2 linked regions of the Rattus norvegicus genome follow. The protein of the gene in region 1 interacts with the protein of each later gene in a pairwise test. Links are inferred from orthologs where the notes say so. Each region holds a gene or a part of one and is shown in the gene's direction. Other genes may lie near its edges.

Region 1 (5,277 bases):
TACCTCAACCCATTTGAGTCACCTACCCCAGGAGTGGCAGTAGAAAAGACAGGCCACTTGAATCAGCCTCTGCTTGTGTGTGTGTGTATGTTTCTGTCTTTGTGTGTGTCTGTCTGTATGTGTGTCTGTGTGTATGTCTCTGTGTGTGGGTATGTTTGTGTATGTATGTGTGTATATCTATGTGTGTATGTCTGTGTGTGTCCCTCTATGTATGACTGTATGTCTATATCTCTGTGTACCTGTGCCTATGTGTGTCTTTGTGTGTCTGTGTGTGCCTTCGTATATGTGCTTGTGTATGTCCATCTGTGTGTAACTGTATGTCTGTCTCTGTATACCTGTGCTTCTATATGTGTGTCTCTGTGTGTCTGTGTGTGCCTCTGTGTCTGTATGTGTATCTGTGTGTGTCTGTATGTCTGTGTCTCTGTGTGCCTGTGCCTATGTGTGTATATCTCTGTATGTGTGTGTACCTCTGTGTGTATGCCTGTGCGTGTCTCTCCTTCTGTGGATGTTTGTGTGTGTGTGTGTGTGTGTGTGTGTGTGTATGTCTGTGTGTGTCTATGTCTATGTCTCTGTGTGCCTGTGCCTATGTGTGTATATCTCTGTATGTGTGTGTACCTCTGTGTGTATGCCTGTGTGTGTCTCTCCTTCTGTGGATGTTTGTGTGTGTGTGTGTGTGTGTGTGTGTGTGTGTGTGTGTCTGTGTGTGTCTATGTCTATGTCTCTGTGTGCCTGTGCCTATGTGTGTATATCTCTGTATGTGTGTGTACCTCTGTGTGTATGCCTGTGCGTGTCTATCCTCGTGTGTCTGTGTGTGTCTGTGTGTATCTGTGTGTATGTCTGTGTGTGCATCAATGTCAGCGGTCTGCCTCAGGCAGATCTCCTTAGGAACTGTATCTTGATTTTAAAGACAGGGTCCCTACTGGGACCTAGGACTCGTGGATTAGGTTAGACCGCCTGGCCAGAGAGCCCTGAGAACTCTCTTGTTCCTCACACTGGGATTAGATGTACAATATTACTTCTGGCTCTTAAGGTGGGTGGGTGCTTGGGGAGGGGGACTCTTTACCAACTGAGTCACCTCCTCGGCACTGTTTGCTGTGTGACCATGGATAGTTCCCTGCCTCTCCCTGGTCCTAAAATCTCCCTACCTGGTGGGACACCAACATGGAGATAGGATCTCCCTGTACCAAGACCTACTGTCTCATGCTGCCTAGGACCCGAGACACCTACAGTACGTGGCAGATATAAATGAGTCCAATGTGTATGTGGTGACCCAGGGCCGCAAGCTGTATGGGATACCCACCGACTTCGGCTTTTGTGTCAAGGTGAGGGCTGCAGCCTGGGCTGGACTCGGGGAGGTGGGAGCTGCCTAAGTTTGAGTCCTATCTATGGCTTTTGAATGTCACGTTGAGGAGCCCAGCCTCATCTCCCTGTACTTGCACTTTTGGACAGGGCTTGGGTCCTCCCCTGCCCTAGGGCATCTGAGTACAGAATCATATAGGGGACAGTCCACTTCTCTCCCCAGCCCAACAAGCTTCGAAATGGCCACAAGGGGCTCCACATCTTCTGCAGCGAGGATGAGCAGAGTCGGACTTGCTGGCTGTCCGCCTTCCGGCTCTTCAAGGTGAGATCCCTGGAATGGCTATGGGGCTGGCCGTGCCTGGTAGAAATGACATGGCTCTGCCTTCAGAGGTCTTCCCAGTGAGGAGGTCATCACAGCCCAGATATTTCAGAATACCCATCAGGAAGGGCAGACTCAGTCCTGCTCTGTCACAACATTTCCTAGGCTCTCATAACCTCAGACCCTCTTTCCCCCCTGCCTCCAGTACGGGGTACAGCTATATAAGAATTATCAGCAGGCCCAGTCTCGTCACCTGCGCTTATCGTATTTGGGGTCTCCACCCTTGGTGAGTATACTATCCCGGGGTACGGGAGAAGTGGGCATGCAGGTTCAGGGCAGCTCTTCTGACCCCTTCTCTCCTCATTCTGTTCTCTCTCCAGAGGAGTGTCTCAGATAATACCCTGGTGGCCATGGACTTCTCTGGCCATGCTGGGCGTGTCATTGAGAACCCCCAGGAAGCTCTGAGTGCTGCCACGGAGGAAGCCCAGGCCTGGAGGGTAAGGCCTTCACACACCTATGCATCTGCTGTACTGGCTCCCAATGGGCGTTCGTGGAGGGAGGGAGGAAGGAAAAGGGCTTGGGGATCCAGTGAATGCCAAGGGCTCCTTGACTTCCATGTCCTCCATTGCAGAAGAAGACAAACCACCGTCTCAGCCTGCCCACCCCGTGCTCCGGCCTGAGCCTCAGTGCAGGTGGGCGATGGTCTAAAATCCCTTGGGTGGGCTACATTGCTACTCTGAGCAGTCCTGGCTGGGGTGGGGTGGTTCCCTTGCCTGAATGATCAGCATCTCTTCCCCCCTGACCCTAGCTATCCATCGCACCCAGCCCTGGTTTCATGGACGAATCTCCCGGGAGGAGAGCCAGCGGCTAATTGGACAGCAGGGCCTGGTGGATGGGTAAGGGGCTGGGCTGGGCTGGGTAACAGACCTGGGGGCCGGAAAGTCCCTAGAGCAGTTGTAACCAGGAACCCCTGATAATGCTACTTTGTTTCCCCCACAGTGTATTCCTGGTCCGGGAGAGCCAGCGGAACCCACAGGGCTTCGTTCTGTCTCTGTGCCATCTGCAGAAAGTCAAACATTATCTCATCTTGCCAGTGAGTAACTCCCCTACCCCTGAGCTAGGTTCTTGTAGCCCGGAGATATGAGACTTGAAGCCCCACTACGCACCTCCTTTCTCCCTGTACAAGAAACGGGGGTCGATTGCTAGCCCCACGGCTGCTCCTCTGCCCGGGACCACTGTCTGACCTGCCTTCTGGCCACACCACAGAGCGAAGATGAAGGCTGCCTTTACTTCAGCATGGATGACGGCCAGACCCGTTTCACAGACCTGCTGCAGCTGGTGGAATTCCACCAGCTGAACCGAGGCATCCTGCCCTGCTTGCTGCGCCACTGCTGTGCCCGTGTGGCCCTCTGAGGCCACACAAGCTGTTACAGCCATGGGGCTGCTTATCGCCCTTCTGCTCCGTTCAGTGGACTCGGTGCAGATGGGTGGGATGATAAACAGATGAAGAGCTCCCCCCACTTTTCTCCCACTTTTTTTTTTACCTCCCTCAGGTAATGAAACATCCCCCAGCCCTGTTCATCCCTGACTCCTGTCCCCAAAGGAGGCATTGTGGTCCTCTCCCCTTGGTAGAGCTCCTGAGGCAGTGAAGGGCATTATGAGAGGAGTAGGGGCAGCCCGGGTGGTCTCATGCCCCACCCACACTCTGTACAGACTGAGAGGCCAGTTGATCTGCTCTGTTTTATACCAGTGATAATAAAGATTATTTTTTGATACACCCACGAGTTCTGTCTGGCAAGAACTGACAAGAGAACCAGCAGAGGGAAAGGCCTTGGTCAACTGGAATATGCCCTAAAGACAAAAAGGCTGTTAGCCGCCGGAGAGCTTTCAAACCCTACCAGGTACCTGGTGCAGCCCAAGTGGTCAGTCAGTGCCTGTTAAATGGACAAATGGACAACAAGGGGTGGTGCTTTTCTTTCATTCTTTAGAAGAGAAAATCATAATTATGTCTATGACTGTGGGTTTGTATGTGCATGGGCACATGCAGTTGCTCAAGGAGGCCAGAAGGGGGCACCGGGTCCCTCCGAGCTGCAGTTAGAGCCAGCTGTGTGCTAATGTAGATGGTGGTAACCAAACTCGGGTCTTCTTCAAGAGTAGGCCGTGCCTTTGACCACTGATCCAGCTCTTCCACCCCAAGGGACTGGGCTTTTCTGACAGAGCCTAGATCTAACCAAGCCTGGGAACTGTGATGCATGACTAGAATCTCAGCACTCAACTGCAGAAAAACAACTGCAGGAAATTCAGGGCTAGCCCGGGTTATATGAGACCCTGTCTCAGGACCTCCCTTTTCTCCACAAACCAAGATGAGTTAGCAGCAAGTCTTGGACTAGTTAGTGGACAGTGAGTTCTGACGAATGCCACGGGGAAGGGAGAGAAGTCTCACTTTCCTCACTCCGGTTTTCTACCAACCTTTTCTCCCTCTCTGCAGTCCCCAGATCTGCTTTCTGTCCCTACAGCCTCCCTCACTCAGAAAGCCTGGCAGGGAAGGGAGATGCAGCCCTAAGTCTCTAATCTCCAGCCCGTCTTTCAGCTTCCAGAGTGAGTTGAGACCGTGCAAGCCTGCCCACTGCTCAGTTAGGCTGCATTTCCCCAGAGTTCCATGCCTTCATCTAACCCAACGGCAGCCTTATAATAAGTACATCCAACGACACCCACACCCTCTGCCCGGTTGTGGAGACACATCTTTTAGACTAAGCAGATTTTATTTTGGAAAAAAAAATCAAATTTTGACTTTTTTTTTTTAAAGATTTATTTATTTATTTTAGGCATATGAGTACACTGTCACTGTCCCCAGACACACCAGAAGAGGGCATCAGATCCCATTACAGATGGTTGTTAGCCACCATGTGGTTGCTGGGAATTGAACTCAGGACCTCTGGAAGAGCAGTCAGTGCTCTTAACCGCTGAGCCATCTCTCCAGCCCAAATTTTGACTCTTAATTCCATCAAACTAGTTTCCCAGAATTACGGGGGCCAGTGAACATATGAGTTGACACGTGGGGACAGTTACCAAAATCAGGACTGGGAATCAGAATGGATAGTTTAGTTTCTACTCCAACGACAGCCAAAGGACCCAAACCCAAACTCCCTGTAAAAACACGTTCATGAGCGACTAGAGACATTCTAACTTATTCAATATTATATTAAGGGACATATTTACATTTTTAACATATGGTAATGGCGTGGTAGGTTTTTAAATTTTTTTTAAAAGATTTATTTATTTCACATATATGAGCGCACTGTAACTGTCTCCAGACACACCGGGAGAGGGCATCAGATCCCATTACAGATGGTTGTGAGCCACCATGTGGTTGCTGGGAATTGAACTCAGGACCTCTGGAAGAGCAGTCAGTGCTCTTAACCACTGAGCCATCTCGCCAGCCCCCAGGTTTTTTAATTTTTTAAAAATTTCTGATACAGGGTTTCTCTGTGTATTCCTGGTTGTTTTGGGACTTTTTCTGTAGACCAGGCTGGCCTCAACCTCAGAGACTCGCCTGCCTCTGTCTCCCAAGTGCTGGGATAAAAAGCGTGTGCCACCACCCAGCGATAGTTCAATCCCTCTCCCCGTTGAAAAGGCTTATGCGATGGTAAACCTTGTAA
Region 2 (6,135 bases), on another chromosome or scaffold:
CGTTTCAAACCAATCCAGACCTAGTACGGCAGCTTATGCCTATAATCCCAGCACTTGGAATTCTAAGGCAGAAGGATGGAGAGTTCAAGGTCAGTGAGACCCTAACTAAGGAAAATAAGCAAAAATAAAACCAGCCCTACTAGTTTACCTCACACGGGGCTCCTAAAATGATTTTGAAAGGTTTCAAGGGACACTAGAAGAATCCGGTTTAAAGCATGCGCCTTGTTTCTCAGAAAGTACTCCCCACCTTCTTATCTTAATCTCTTTGCCAGATTTGACTTGTGGAAGGAAAGTTGAACAGTACAGTAAAGGGGTGTGGAGCCAGCAGCCTGGGGAGAGAATCCCTCTTGAGGTGGTTTTGCTCAAACAAAACATTGGATGGGACCCTAGGAGGGAAGGCTGCTCTGGCTGCAGCTAGCGGGCTGGACAAACAAGGCTGGACAAACAAAGGAGATGATCACACACAGAAAGATTGTTTACCCTCATGCAGGGGTCAGAGATCATCCTCACCTGGCTTCCCTCGAGGTCCCACTCAAGCTCACACGGGCAGCCTGTCCACCAGTCTCTAGTGCGAGGAATCCAGTGAGGAATCCTAGGTTGGTTTGTTGTTATGTTTTCTGAGACAGTTTTTCTCTGTGTAGTCCTGGCTGTCCTGGAACTCACTCTGTAGACCAATCTGGCCTTGAATTCAGAAATCCACTTGCCTCTGCCTCACGAATGCTGCAATTAAAGCCAGCACTACCCAGGTTAGAGGAATCCTAGTTTTCATTCAGACTTGATCCCAAGGAAAAGTAGGCAGAGACCTACCACCAAACCGTGTCTCTAGTTAAGCAAGCTCCCCAGAGGGAAGGTGGTCAGAGACGGCATGGCAGGGTTTCCTGCACAGTACCCTGGGCCCTGAGAGAGGCAGACAGGTAGGGTGTGTCTGGGCTCTGGAAGCCAAGGACTCCAGTGTGTGCCTGAAAGAGGTTCCCTGAGAGGCAGAGTGACAAAGGCACTGAAGCCATCCCTTTCATCTACCTGGAGTTCTACCTGGTGTGGCAAGTGTCGTGGGAGAGGCTTCCGGCATGCTCTACTCACTCTTAGTGGTTCTGTCTGACTCACGGGGGGGGGGGGGGGGTCTCTGGACACGTGTGAAGTGAAAGGGAAGAGGGTTTAGAAACAAACTCAGAACATTCTCCCAAGTTGGGGAGGAACCCACCAGCATCTGAAATGGGAGGCTACCCGGGATTGGGATGGGGCTACAGAAGAGCCAGGCCAGCAACACATAGCCCCTTGCCAGAAGCCCTGAGGAAGAAACAGTGGCCCTGTTAACCCAGACTCCGTTCCATTCCCACCACGACACCGGAACAGAGGTTCTCGGAGTGTGAAACTCAGGTCACCTCTGGCACCATCGCCTGCAGATGAGCTATTTATAAAGCCGATCCTCCCTCTGAACCACAAGCAGGTACCAGAGCTGCATATCTCTAAACAGCCGACTCTCGAGATGTTTAGACCTGCTTAGAGCCAGTCTAAGGCCAGGCGTCGGTGGTATGCTTTTTTTTTAAATCCCAGCACTTAGGAGACAGAGGCTGGAGGATCTCTGTGAGCCCAAGGCCCGCCAGCCTGGTCTATGTATCGACCTACAGAACAACCACGGGTGTGTAGGGAAACCCTGTCTTGGGGTGGGAGCAGGGGTAAGAACCATCTGAACCCCGAGCCTGACTCACACCTGTCAGCACCGCACCAGGGACACTAAGACAGGAGGGTACCATGAGTTCAGACAACTTGGCCTGTGAAGGAAGATATGCCTCAAAAGACAAAAACCAAAACAAAAAAGCCAGAGTCAGCAAGATGGCTCATTGGATGAAAACACTGCCTCGGTCTGACACCTGAGTTTGATTCTTGAGACCAACAGAACGACACTCTCAGCCACCCCCCCCCCAAGTGTTCTCTGACCCCCACTCATGTGCCATGGCAAGTGTGCAGACACATGAAATAGATGTGAAAAGAATTATTAAGTAAAAATAAACCAATGGCAATTGCTCCTCAAACAAATTGCTTTAAACCTTCACATGTTGACCCTGGAAGCTTTTAACACTTAGAAAACCAGGGCAAACAGTCAAGTCTGTGACTTCATAACCACATAGGCCCCAGATGCCAGCATGCCTGTGGGGAACAGGAGGGCTGAAGGTGGGTTTCCTGCCGTCTGTGTAAGCTGAGCATTTCCTGTGCCCTGTGCCTTATTAGCACACCGGTGGAGGGTGCTTCCTGTCAGCCACTCTTTCCATTCTGCACGGTGCTTTGCTGTTTTCACACTGCCCTGGGGGTTGGAGGAAGACGAGTTTCTCACGAATCCTCTGGGCCACTTGGCAGTCTCCCCACCCCCACTGGTCCCTCATGTTTCCATCAACTGGCAGAAAACTAGAGCGTGGCCCCACGACGTCACACTGGGAGCACCAAGAGCTGGATGAGAAAGAGCACTTCTCCTGCAGTGGGCATTGGGGCCACCCCCAGTAAACCAGATCTGATGCTTTTGAATCTTGTACCAACTCAGTCCGGAATCTCAGGTCAAGGTAAGGGAAGGTTGGGTCTTATTGTTGTTGTGTTGTTGTTAGTAGAAGTACAGTCATTTATATTCTCTCTGTGTGTGTGTGTGTGTGTGTGTGTGTGTGTGTGTGTGTGTGTGTGTGTGTCTCAGAAGATAACTTGAGGGAACTAGTTCTCCCCTTCTGCCATGCAGGCGGTAAACCTGGGTCATTAAACTGGCAGTAAGCATCTCTGCCTGCAGAGCCAGCGAACCAACCCAAGGAAGGTAGTTAGCTGGGAAAAAGTTCTAGAACAGAAGATTAGAATCTTCAGAAAGAAATAAAAATTAAAAACTGGTTTTGTGTGAGAGAACTTTGGTGAATATGATCTAGGAAGAATGGCTGGGGAACGTCTGTCTCTGTTGCACCAGGTTCGAAAAGCCCTGGAGTTCCTGCCCCAGGACCACATACATAAGTATGGTTGGGGCGCACACCTGTAAATCCCAGTACTAAAGGAGCAGAGGATCAGAAGTTCAAGGTCACACACACACACACACACACACACACACACACACACACACAAAATTATTATTATTATATGTGTATTATATATGTGTGTGTATATGTATATATATCGGGTACGTAAAGGTTTCAGACTACTCTGAGATACATGAAACTCTAATGAATGGCTATATTGCAAGTCCCAGGTTGTCTGAGATACATTAGACCCTATCTAAATAAATAAGAAATTTCAAGAATACAAAATGATACATTTTGGAAAACATGGGGATTTGGAAATTTTTCTGTCATTCTATTATCTACTTTTTTAAAAAAAGGTGATTATATGCAAAATGCATACCAATTTGCCTTTTTTCCCTACGAATCAGCAACTTAGAAAGAGCTAAGAAAAGTGGAAGTCATACTGGCTAGTCAGTCACAACACTGAGAAGACTTAGAAACTGCAAAGCCCCTCAGAGGTCCAGTGATGTACACCACCCCAGCCCCTCCAGAGATCACAAGAAGGAGCTCAGAGCCAAGCACTCAGCAGGGGACTCTTGGCAGCCTGGAAGGGTGAGTTGCTCTGGGAAAGTGAACTCCAAGGTCCCCTGATCTAGCACAGGAATTGTCTAGCCTGGAAATGATGCCACACTTACATCCCAAGCCTGGGCTCACTAGGACAAGCAAACCAAACCGAGAGCAAACCATGCTGAGGGATGCTGGGAAGTAAGAAAGGAGATACTGGGGCTCAGGGCAGGGGGACTGACTGAAAGATGAATTTCTGATTGGATTTTCTTCCTCTCAGAGGCCCTGACCTCTATGCTTGGGCTTTCTAACCTCTTGTCCTAATCTCCAGCAATAAGTTTTTAGATCCTGAAGCCCTTATCATGAGTGAGAAGTGTAATAACAGATGTCATAAAGTTTTAGGGCCTTATAGAGGTAGTCATGAATGTAAACTCACTCCTGAGGTTTTCACTCTCAAATACACAAAAGTAAAGCGTCCATCAATCGGGTGCCAAGATTTTAGGAATATTAATAGGTGTAAATTCCAGTGCTCCCTTCAAAGTAAAAACGCAACGAAAGTGTATTTTGTTTTTAAATTGCTGTCGTTTTAGGAAATGTCAGTGTTATTACTAGAGTTAATCAGTATCGTGTGCAGGTGAAACACAGGTACAGAGGACTAAGTTCCTATCCATCATTGAAGCTTTAAGCACCATCTTCAATGAGTTCCCTTTTTAGTACATTTTTTTTGTGGGGGGTGGAAGGGTAGAGGTCAGAGAGCAATTTGCAGAAATCAGTTGTCTCTCTTTCACCATGTGGGTCTCAGGGATCAAACTTAAGAGTGTCAGGCTTGGCTGAAGGTGCCTTTACCCACTGAACCCTCTTACTGAACACTAAAAACTATTTTTTAAGCTGATATATGCTTTGTTGTTGCTTTCTGTCTCCTTTGCACTTTATAATCAGTAAATAAAATCTGTACTTATGTATTATGTTTAGCCTATAGTTTTGCAATGCATACGTGTTGTAGATGGCTGAATTCCATATGTATTACTTGACATAACCTTCAAACAACACCTTAAGCAATGTTCAAGAATACATTATTTTCAACATGGCCATGTTGAACTTCCTTCTACCTAACCTTTGACTCTGGAAACCTTCCTTTCCCACCCCTGCTGACCTCTAGTCTACTCTCTTGTTTCTATGAGTTCAATCCTTTTAGAGTCTGCATATAAGTGAGATGAGGCAGGATCTATCTATTCCTGGCTTCTTTCACTTAACACTATGTCCTCCGGGCCCACCCACCTTGTCACAAATGACAAGATCTTCTTCCCTTCTGAAGCTGAATGATATCCTTTGCATATGTATTCTACATTCTCTCTCTCTCCGTTTATCTATTGATAGACACTCGGGTTAATTCTGTATCTTGGCTATTGTGAGTTTTGCTGCAAAAGAATATGACAGTACAAATGTCTCTAATAAACACAGGAATACAGGCACACAGTTTCATTTGCTTTGAATATAGATCTAGTAGTGGGATGAACAGAGCATATGGTGATTCTATTTTTAATTTTTGGGGATAATTGCCATGAGTTATTTCCCACAATGACTGTGTTATTCTCGAAACTATTTCCGTGTTTGTTCATTTATTATTTCATTCACTTATCATTGAACAAATATTCATGACGCTCCTACCATGCTGCTTGAGATGTCCGTGACTCCTTGAGGCTCAGTCAGTGGCAGTGTTTGATGGCAAACATGTATACTATCAATCAGCCGTAAATGCTTTGAAGAAGAAATAGAAGTAAGAAAGCTGTGAATGGCGGGTGCAATCGGGGAGGATCTCTCGAAGGAGGTGAAGACACTTGAGACTTAAATGGAACGAGGGGCTCAGCTATGCAGATCCGAGATAGAACTTTTCTTCGTACGGATTGGGCAGGAACAGCAAGAGGTCCCGGTGGTCAGCATCAGGGGTAAGGGGGTTTGAAATGAGCCCGGATGTTAGTCAGGAGAAGACAGATCACATTATGTCAAAAAAATCCCTGCTGAGTACAGACTGAAGATTCACTGTCAGCATGGTGGGAAGCCATTCTAAGTGGAAGAGGGACCCAGTATGACTTACTCTGTACAGTGATCGTACTAGCTCACGGTGTACATGATATGTTGAAGTCAAGAGTGAAAGCCAGGAGGGCTCCCAGGGAGGGGACCACTGCAAGTCAACTTGGAACTCATCTTGGCTTATCCCAGGGTGGTAGCAGTGGAAGAACATGAGGTGACTGGATTTAAAGTGGATGCCCTTGCCCAGGTCAAAGCCGATTAATTGGAAGTAGGGCATGAAAAAGCAGTCAGTCAGGAGTGATGCCAAGGATTTAGATTGTACCACTAGATGACGGGAAGTCTAGAGGGAAAGCTAGTATATAAAGACTAGGTATAGGAGCCCAGTTTAGGCTTGAGATATCTGTTGGACAACCTAAGAGAAATGGCCAATAGAAGTTGGATCAGTAAGCCCAGAACTCAGAAGGACAAACATCTTTCCAGGTATTGCCCGGTGTAAACATTTGGGGGTTGTTGCTTGTTCCTGCCAGACTTCCATTGCCTACTTCCTGATAGAGTGGGCGTGGCTGCCTGATGT

The links. The genes of interacting proteins can lie anywhere in the genome.
Region 2: the proteins of Grb7 (region 1) and Lax1 interact in binary tests that used the Homo sapiens proteins (3 or more experiments, as listed by UniProt). The two-hybrid records come from large-scale screens. The link is inferred for Rattus norvegicus from reciprocal best matches to the Homo sapiens genes GRB7 and LAX1.

What each region holds. Positions count from the first base shown.
Region 1 is NC_086028.1:83,945,943-83,951,219, forward strand, and holds the end of Grb7 (growth factor receptor-bound protein 7), read left to right. Parts: intron 1-1,211; coding exon 1,212-1,322; intron 1,323-1,522; coding exon 1,523-1,621; intron 1,622-1,823; coding exon 1,824-1,904; intron 1,905-1,998; coding exon 1,999-2,115; intron 2,116-2,249; coding exon 2,250-2,310; intron 2,311-2,426; coding exon 2,427-2,514; intron 2,515-2,617; coding exon 2,618-2,711; intron 2,712-2,884; coding exon 2,885-3,031; 3' UTR 3,032-3,395; downstream 3,396-5,277. UniProt on the Homo sapiens protein: Adapter protein that interacts with the cytoplasmic domain of numerous receptor kinases and modulates down-stream signaling. Promotes activation of down-stream protein kinases, including STAT3, AKT1, MAPK1 and/or MAPK3. Promotes activation of HRAS.
Region 2 is NC_086031.1:47,693,566-47,699,700, reverse strand, and holds the start of Lax1 (lymphocyte transmembrane adapter 1), read left to right. Parts: upstream 1-2,304; 5' UTR 2,305-2,555; intron 2,556-3,394; 5' UTR 3,395-3,492; coding exon 3,493-3,578; intron 3,579-6,135. UniProt on the Homo sapiens protein: Negatively regulates TCR (T-cell antigen receptor)-mediated signaling in T-cells and BCR (B-cell antigen receptor)-mediated signaling in B-cells.